Cricetulus griseus: one gene and its partner. The protein of the gene in region 1 purifies or fractionates together with the protein of each later gene. This does not show direct contact. Links are inferred from orthologs where the notes say so. Each region holds a gene or a part of one and is shown in the gene's direction. Other genes may lie near its edges. The genes, in order: P4ha2 and Col1a1.

Region 1 (3,808 bases):
ATGACTGCTTTGGCATGGGCCGCTCAGCCTACAATGAAGGAGATTATTATCATACTGTGCTGTGGATGGAGCAGGTGCTGAAACAGCTCGATGCTGGGGAAGAGGCCACCATAACAAAATCCCTGGTGCTGGACTACCTGAGCTATGCTGTCTTCCAACTGGGAGACCTGCACCGTGCTGTGGAGCTCACCCGCCGCCTGCTCTCTCTTGGTAAGAAGGTTAGGGGCTGGAGCTAGTAAGGGAACTTGACCCTTCTAGCCACACTGCTTGGTCATCTCTTGGAACTAAATCAGTTTGATTGTCACTGACTAGTTCCTTACCTGCAGTCTTGAGGTTAGACCATATGCCAGGTGCTGATGGGTATTCAAAGGCCTGTGACATCTTGTGTGTGTGTGTGTGTGTGTGTGTGTGTGTGTGTGTGTGTGTGTGTTGCTCATGCATGTGCATAGGCTTGTGTGTGCAAGTGCCTGTGCACATGTGAGCACACTCTGTCACTTTTAAAAATAAGGACCTAATGTTGTGGTGTTTGTACCATTATGCAGGGTAGACCCTTCACTGTGTAAAATATAGATTGAGAAGCAAGCTGTCCTTCTGGATTGCTGCAGTGACAGTAATTCTAGCAATTAGTGGCCTGAGGTCTAAAGTAGGACTTAGCATGCCATTTGTCCCCTGCATGTCCTGTGATGTGGGACAGAACAAGGCCCGAAGTATTGTATCTTTAAAGCCTGTTCATTATACCTTTTACTAATACATGGGCACATTGTCTGGAACATCACAGAGCAGCGAAGACTTGACTTTGCCACTGCTATCCAGGGGCCCTGAATGGAAGGCCAGCTAGCATTTGAACATTGCACAAGACCAATGTGGGTAGAGGGTTTTGTAGGATCTGTCATGTGAGTTAGTAAGAGCCTTGGACAGGGAGTCAGGATACTCCAACTCTTGTGTGTTGTTTCATCTTAAGTCACTGGGCATCTTTGAGCTTCAGTTCTGTTATCTGGGGAATGACATAGAAATCCTGCCGTGGCTGTTGCTTCAGGTACTGTGTTGTCCACCAGAGCCGTGACTCTTCTATTTTTAAATAAAAGTTTATTACATTTATTTATTTATTTGTTGTGTGTATGAATGTGCAACTGCCACAATGTACATATGGTCAGGGGCCAACTCTAGGGAGTCAATTCTCTCCTTTTACACCATGTGGATCCTGGGTATTGAACTCAGGTTGTCAGGCTTGGGCAGTAAACATCTTTGCCTGCTGAGCCATCTGGCCTGCTTTGTACCTCTTATTTATTTATTTATTTATATTTATTTATTTATTTATTTATTACCAGTATCTCAGCTTGTCTTCCATCTGTAGCCAGTGTGTGATATGGTCACCAGACCTGGCTGCACTCTGGGGAATGGCTTTAAACAGCTACAGCCATTCACAAGGAAGAGGCAGAACTCTGGGAGACCTCCTGGAGTTCCTACAAGCTCTGTGTTCTATCTAACCCCTAGTCACTAGCTGAATGTGCTCCGCTTTAATGACACATCTCCTCATCACTTGACAAGATGAAAGATCCTCTGTTGGCTTTTCAGCTCTGGCGGATGCACCCTGGTTAGGTGCTGCAGCCAGCAGAGCATAGCATACCAATAGGCTGCTGGGAGAGGAACGGCTCACAGAACAGTTTCTGTAAATGACCTAACAGATGTTTGTGGTTTCCTTGCCCTCACTTTTCGCTTTTTCTAGACCCAAGCCATGAACGAGCTGGCGGGAATCTGCGGTACTTTGAGCGACTGTTAGAGGAAGAAAGAGAAAAATCCTTGTTCAATCAGACAGAAGCTGGACTAGCGACCCAGGAAAACGTGTATGAGAGGCCCGTGGACTACCTCCCTGAGAGGGATGTGTATGAGAGCCTGTGCCGTGGGGAGGGCGTCAAACTGGTGAGAGCTGGGGAGGGGCAGGTGGCCAGGCTGGGGATCTGAGTGCTGGCTCTGGGTGGGCAGCATGGGAAGTTCTGCTGTCTATTCTTCTTTTTTTTTTTTTTTCTCAGCGTCTGCTGAGGCTGGTGTGTATGTGTGTGGGGGAGAGGGGGGCTGTTCTCTGATGCATAGGACAGGAGATTGTCTCCATGGATGCTCCAGGGAGAATTGCTGTCCCCTAGGGCATTGCTGTACTCCCCATTCACCCCAGTGTGCCTACCTATCATTTGACTCATTAGTTTGAGGGAAATGATGGGAATAGATATGCATTAGGTCCCTGGGAAGTCATGGTGTAAATGACAAAAAAGACCCAGTGGTAAAAAAAGGCAACACTTGCAGGGGTTTGGTGTCTGTGTCCCTGGCTTTTGAGAGCCCTGGTTCCACTGATCCTCACAGCTCAGTATGAGGGAGGCGCTCACCTTTCCTGTGCTCCCGATTGGCTTCTGATTGCTCTCCGTCTAGAAAGGCTTCTCCCCATCGGCTTCAGGCCGATTCAGATCTCTATGAGCAGGGTCAGGAAGTGCCTCTGTCACAGAAATTGTGGAGAGAAGGGGAGCTGCATGGTTTGTGTGAGGTCAATTCCTACTCTGGTTTTCTTCTGTGGTGAAGCTGAGGACAGCCTTGGCCGTGGAGGGTGAAACCAGTGTGTGCAGACAGCTGGGCTGGAGCTGAGGGTAAGAACTCACTCTGCTCTGTGCTCCCTAGACCCCCCAGAGGCAGAAGAAGCTTTTCTGTAGGTACCATCATGGTAACAGGGTGCCACAGCTCCTCATCGCCCCCTTCAAAGAGGAAGATGAGTGGGACAGCCCGCACATTGTCAGATACTATGATGTGATGTCGGATGAAGAAATTGAGAGGATCAAGGAAATCGCGAAGCCCAAAGTAGGTGTCTCTGGTTTTGCTGGGGCACTGAATGGGGTGGGGTGCAGTTCCTCCTGCTGCCTCTGTGGGGCAGGTTGACTGTGCACCAATTCAGGCTCACCAATAGCTAGTGTGAGTTGGGCTCATATGCTGTGGACTTGGGCTGACATTGTTGGTTTGTGATCTAATAGAGAAGAAAAAGTAGGGAACAGGCATGATGCAGGTCATGTTGAGAGCAGGGCATCTCAGTGGCAAATGCCATTTCACCAGGTTGAAGGGCTTGTGCATAGATCTTTTAGGAAATGCATAGTCCTGGAAAAGTGGAATCCGTGGAGCTTCTGATCAGGACTGCAGTGAGGGGTGGGGGCTGCAGTGAGGGTGGGGGCTGGGGGCTGCAAGGGGTGGGGGCTGCAGTGAGGGGTGGGGGCTGCAGTGAGGGGTGGGGGCTGCAGTGAGGGGTGAGGGCTGCAGTGCGATGATAAAGACTGCAGTGAACTGTTTGACTTGGAGGAGGGTGTACATCTGTGCAATTCCTTATAATCTTTACTTATTCATGTTTAAAATTTCAGTTCAAATACATTTCTTACTAAGCTTATCCCTCATTTTTTTTCTTTGTAAATTTTCTTCTTGTGAGTATTTTAACTTGTTGCATTAGTGAATGTTAGTTCACTATTATATGCTAAATTTTTGGATAGCATTTCTTTTTTATATTGGGTCTTATGTAGTTCAGGCTGTCTTCAAACTTTTTATATATGTATATATCTAAGGATAACCTTCTGCCTCCACTTCCCAGGAGCTAGAATTACAGCTGTAAAATATCATTCCTGGTTTATGCAGTGCAGCCAATCAAACCCAGGGCCTCGTATGTGCTAGCCCAGCATTCTTTTAGCTAAACCATGTTTCTAGCCTAGTATGCGGAACTATTGACTTTTGAAATATATCTCCCAGTGGTAACCAGTGTTTACTGAGCTTGCTGTGGCAGGACCTG
Region 2 (4,254 bases), about 40 Mb from region 1:
GGCTACAAATGACCCTTTCCTGAATGTAGAGGTGGAGAGTAATGGCCAGGGTTTCCAGCAAAGAAACCTGTGGAGAGTAAACTTAAAGTCACTCAGCTACCAGGCACAAGTTCCCTCCACACACTGAATTCACCTAGGTGTCCCCAGACCAAGTACAGGTACAATAAGAAAAATGAACTCTGCTGCTTTGAGAACAGCTCTCCATGCTGAAAAGCCTTCTATGCATTCTCTCTGAATTGACACTGCTACATGATGGGCCCGGGGAGACCTCTAACCAATCCCTGGCTATAGCACTGCTGATACAAGACCCTTTTCTAAGATATCCATGGTCACAGGCCTCCCCCTAACAAACTCACTTCCCACTTCGCTCAGTTCACTCGGGGATAGATGAGTTCAGGGAATGAATTGATATAACAAACCCCAGTCCATAGCTTTAAGGCCCCCACAGATCCCCCAGCCTACCCTGCTCCCTATCACTTAATGCCTAAGCCTCCTTCTGGAAGGACAAGGGTGTCAAGCTTCTCCCCAAGCCTCAGCCTCAGAGCTGTCTCCCTCAGTCACACCTGGAGTTGGTCTGTCTTGGAGCCACAGTCATGGCAGAACAGACAACTATTCCCCCCCCTCCCTCTTTTCAAGCAGTCACATATCTGATTCTTGGTGTCTATGAAGAGATATCTAACTTGTTCACAAATATTCCTATCCTCCATACCTGGGCCACACCAAGAGATGACCCCCGCCCTGCCTGAAACAGGCACCTCTGTTTAGCTACTTGGTTCCTCTGATTTGGAAAGGTGCATGTCCAGTGTATTCCTTATTCCTTCCCAAGGATGTCAGAAAGATTAAAAAGCAAGGCCAGTTTTCCCAGTTATGCCTGACCTTGACCCTTCTATAATGTTGCCCCACTCAAATCCCCAGTTTCACATCCTTCTGATTTGAGGTCCCAGAAAGAAAGTGCAAGGGGCATCCCCTACCCACAAATCAGTGTACCAAGGGCCCAGTCATACTCCAGTATCTCTGGCCTGGGTAGGTCTGGGGGGCAGGGGCAGCAGAGTTGCAAAGTGGGGGGGGGGGGCTGGGTGGACTCCTTCCCTTTCTTTCCCTCCTCCCACCTCTTCGTTCCAAATTGGGGGCCGGGCCAGGCAGTTCTGATTGGCTGGGGGCCGGGCTGCAAGCTCCCCCTCTCCAAGAGGCAGGGTTCCTCCCAGCTCTCCTCAGGATGGTATAAAAGGGGCCCAGGCCAGTCGTCGGAGCAGACCGGAGTTTCTCCTCAGGACGGAGCAGGAGGCACGCGGAGTGAGGCCACGCATGAGCCGAAGCTAACCCCCCACCCCAGCCGCAAAGAGTCTACATGTCTAGGGTCTAGACATGTTCAGCTTTGTGGACCTCCGGCTCCTGCTCCTCTTAGGGGCCACTGCCCTCCTGACGCACGGCCAAGGAGACAGTAAGTTCCAAACTTTGGGGAGTTCACGGCTTCTTGGTATCGCGTTCTGCACTGGGTCCTGACAATTGAGACTTAAACGGATGCTTCAGTCGGAGGTGGGGAAGGTGATGGGGAGGAACTGGGAGGAGAGAGGCCACCCTGGGGTGCAGATGAGGATGAGCGGTTCTCAGAAGTGGAACGTGGGGTGAAGTGGCTCAGGAGTAAGTTCCAAGCACCCATAAGTAGCACAACAGGAAAAGTGGGAATCTGGGCACGGGTTGGGACAGAGTACGTCGAAGGTGGAATAAGGCGGCTGGAATAGAGATTCGGAGCCCAAGATGTAAAAGCTATCAAAGAGGCTGCGGGGTGATTCATAAGGAAAGATTGTTTGCCTTCTCTGCAGGCTAGACAGTGTTGCTGGGGCCGCCGGGGTGCTGGGCTCAGGGGGAGGGAACGCACGGAGTGGGAGGGTTGCTGGATGAGAAAGTTTGGCTCGGACTTGACAGGGCGCGGTCCCTGCGCCCCCTGCTGGTCAGCCTTGAGCACTACGCGTCCTGGTACTGCACTTTATAGCGCGCGGGCTAAAGAGGGAAGATCTGGGTTATTGCCGGGCTTGGACCCCCATCTCCAGACGGGGAAAATAAAACCAGGCATGGGGTAGCCCCAGTCTTTAAAAGAAATGGCTCAGGCTGGGTAAAATTGGTTCCGCTCAGTCCGTTGCTTAGTGTTGCCCGCCACCTAGTGGTTGCCTTGAACCGTTACTAGAGCGGTGGGCGTGGTTTACTAATCATCACTATTTGTAGACTTGAGTTCTTTTTAGTTAAGGAGAGACGCCAAAGCACTGGCTGGCTCGTCTCGAAAGCGAGGTTTTAAGATTCCTGGGGAGGGAAAAGATTCCTGGGAGCATGGGGGTTAAGATGTATCCAACTTTAGGACCGGACTCCACGGAGATCAGCCACTCCACATTTTAGCCCCTCCCACTCCATCCCACCTGCCCAGGGAATGGGGGTGGGACCAGGGCTGGAACTCCCCTTCTCTCCTCCCACCCCCGCCTCTTATTTGCGCTCAAACCACATCCCACGGGCCCCGTTCTACTGTATAGGATCCCTCCTACTCTCCCGCAGAAGGCTTTTTATTTCACTTGGTTCCCGCGCGCGTGGGCTGAAGTTGAGTTTGGAAGCAACCCCAGTCTAAAGCTTTGTTTAAGTTCCTGAGAGCTGGGAAGTTATAGCTGTCCTGGCCAGGCGCCCCGAGCTGTCACTGAACGCCGCTTTGGAGCAGACCAGCATTTAAGGGTTTTAGGGAAGAAAATGGGGAGTGGGGGATGCGGGAGGCGGGAAGTGGAAAACCTACGTGCGCCTCTAAGACAGAGGAAAGGGCGAATAGGGCTGGGATCCCTGGTGCCCCGAAGTGGGGACTTAGAGCCGCTCTTTCCCTATTTGCGCAGTCCCTGAAATCACCTGCATACACAATGGCGTAAAGATCCCTAATGGTGAGACGTGGAAAGCCGATACCTGCTTGATCTGTATCTGCCACAATGGCACAGCCGTGTGCGATGCCGTGGTGTGCCAGGAAAAGATGGATTGTGTCAACCCCCAAAAACGTGAAGGGGAGTGCTGTCCTGTCTGCCCAGAAGAGTTTGGTACGTTCTGGGCCTACAGTTAGGGGAGGTCAGAGTCCCGTCGTTGCCTGTGTCTTGAAAGCCTCTAACACCTCAGGTACCTTAGCAAATTTACTTCTAACTTCACATCTTTTCCCCCACAGTATCACCAGACCAAGAACTCATAGGAGTCGAGGTAATACTCTACTCCCTGTTTTCACTCACCCGTCCATGACTCCTACTGTCCCTCCTATGGACTCCAATTTTCCTCATTTCTCTAACCGGCCTCTTGTTTCTTCACCCTCAAACCCACAGGGACCCAAGGGAGACCGCGGCCCTCAAGGCCCAAGGGTAAGCATTGCATTCTAAGTGAGCTGGGAAACTGGAGGGGGCGTGGCTCTGGTTTGTGCTCATAGCAGCCCCGCCCTTTCTTGGTGCAGGGACCCGCTGGCCCCCCTGGAAAAGATGGCATCCCTGGACAGCCTGGGCTTCCTGGTCCTCCTGGTCCTCCTGGTCTCCCCGGCCCTGCTGGCCTCGGAGGAGTAAGTAGAGCTTGGAGACCTCAGCCCTGTGTGACTCCCGGTTTTTGCTTTGATTTGATTTGATTTCTGCAGATATAACTTTATATTTTTAAATAATCATAAGCTTACAGAAAAGTTGCAATAGTGCCCAGAACTTCCATTCATCCTTCATCACAACTCCTTCACCACCGAGTACACAGTTATCTCCTGTCTGTGTGTGTGTGTGTGTGTGTGTGTGTGTGTGTGTGTGTGTGTGTGTGAAATTACCAAGAACATGCCCATGCCCTATGCTCCAAAGCACGTACGTGCATTTCCTTAACAGGGGACCATAGTACCAAATTTAAAGTTCCTCTAGCACTATTGCCTAATATACAACCCACTTTCAGATTTCCTTTATAGCATCTTTTTTTTTCCTTCTTGTCCAAGACCACCATTTTCATTTTGTTATCTCATCTCTTTGAGCCCCACAAATGTTGACTGTTTCTGAGACTCTTTGTCATCCTTGGCACAGCAAGGGTTTGAAGAGTCTGGTTGATGGGCAGAGGCAGTTATTTTATAGATTGTTCTGCAGTTTGGGATTGTCTGGTTAGAAGGTTCCATTGAGGTGTCTGGCACAGGCAGCGCTGCTGTCTCTCTTAAACACATCCGCAAGCCCATGTCAGTTTGTCCCATTACTGGCAACGCCTCCTGCCCTTCACTGTACCATCCTGAGC

Evidence for each region.
Region 2: the proteins of P4ha2 (region 1) and Col1a1 purify together in Homo sapiens (co-immunoprecipitation; 3 studies listed by BioGRID and IntAct, counting the BioPlex papers as one, with this or other methods). This does not show direct contact. The link is inferred for Cricetulus griseus from reciprocal best matches to the Homo sapiens genes P4HA2 and COL1A1.

Annotation. Positions count from the first base shown.
Region 1 is NC_048600.1:68,286,575-68,290,382, forward strand, and holds part of P4ha2 (prolyl 4-hydroxylase subunit alpha-2), read left to right. Parts: coding exon 1-210; intron 211-1,726; coding exon 1,727-1,920; intron 1,921-2,664; coding exon 2,665-2,841; intron 2,842-3,808. UniProt on the Homo sapiens protein: Catalyzes the post-translational formation of 4-hydroxyproline in -Xaa-Pro-Gly- sequences in collagens and other proteins.
Region 2 is NC_048600.1:108,118,435-108,122,688, forward strand, and holds the start of Col1a1 (collagen alpha-1(I) chain), read left to right. Parts: upstream 1-1,242; 5' UTR 1,243-1,365; coding exon 1,366-1,441; intron 1,442-2,867; coding exon 2,868-3,062; intron 3,063-3,184; coding exon 3,185-3,216; intron 3,217-3,335; coding exon 3,336-3,371; intron 3,372-3,460; coding exon 3,461-3,562; intron 3,563-4,254. UniProt on the Homo sapiens protein: Type I collagen is a member of group I collagen (fibrillar forming collagen).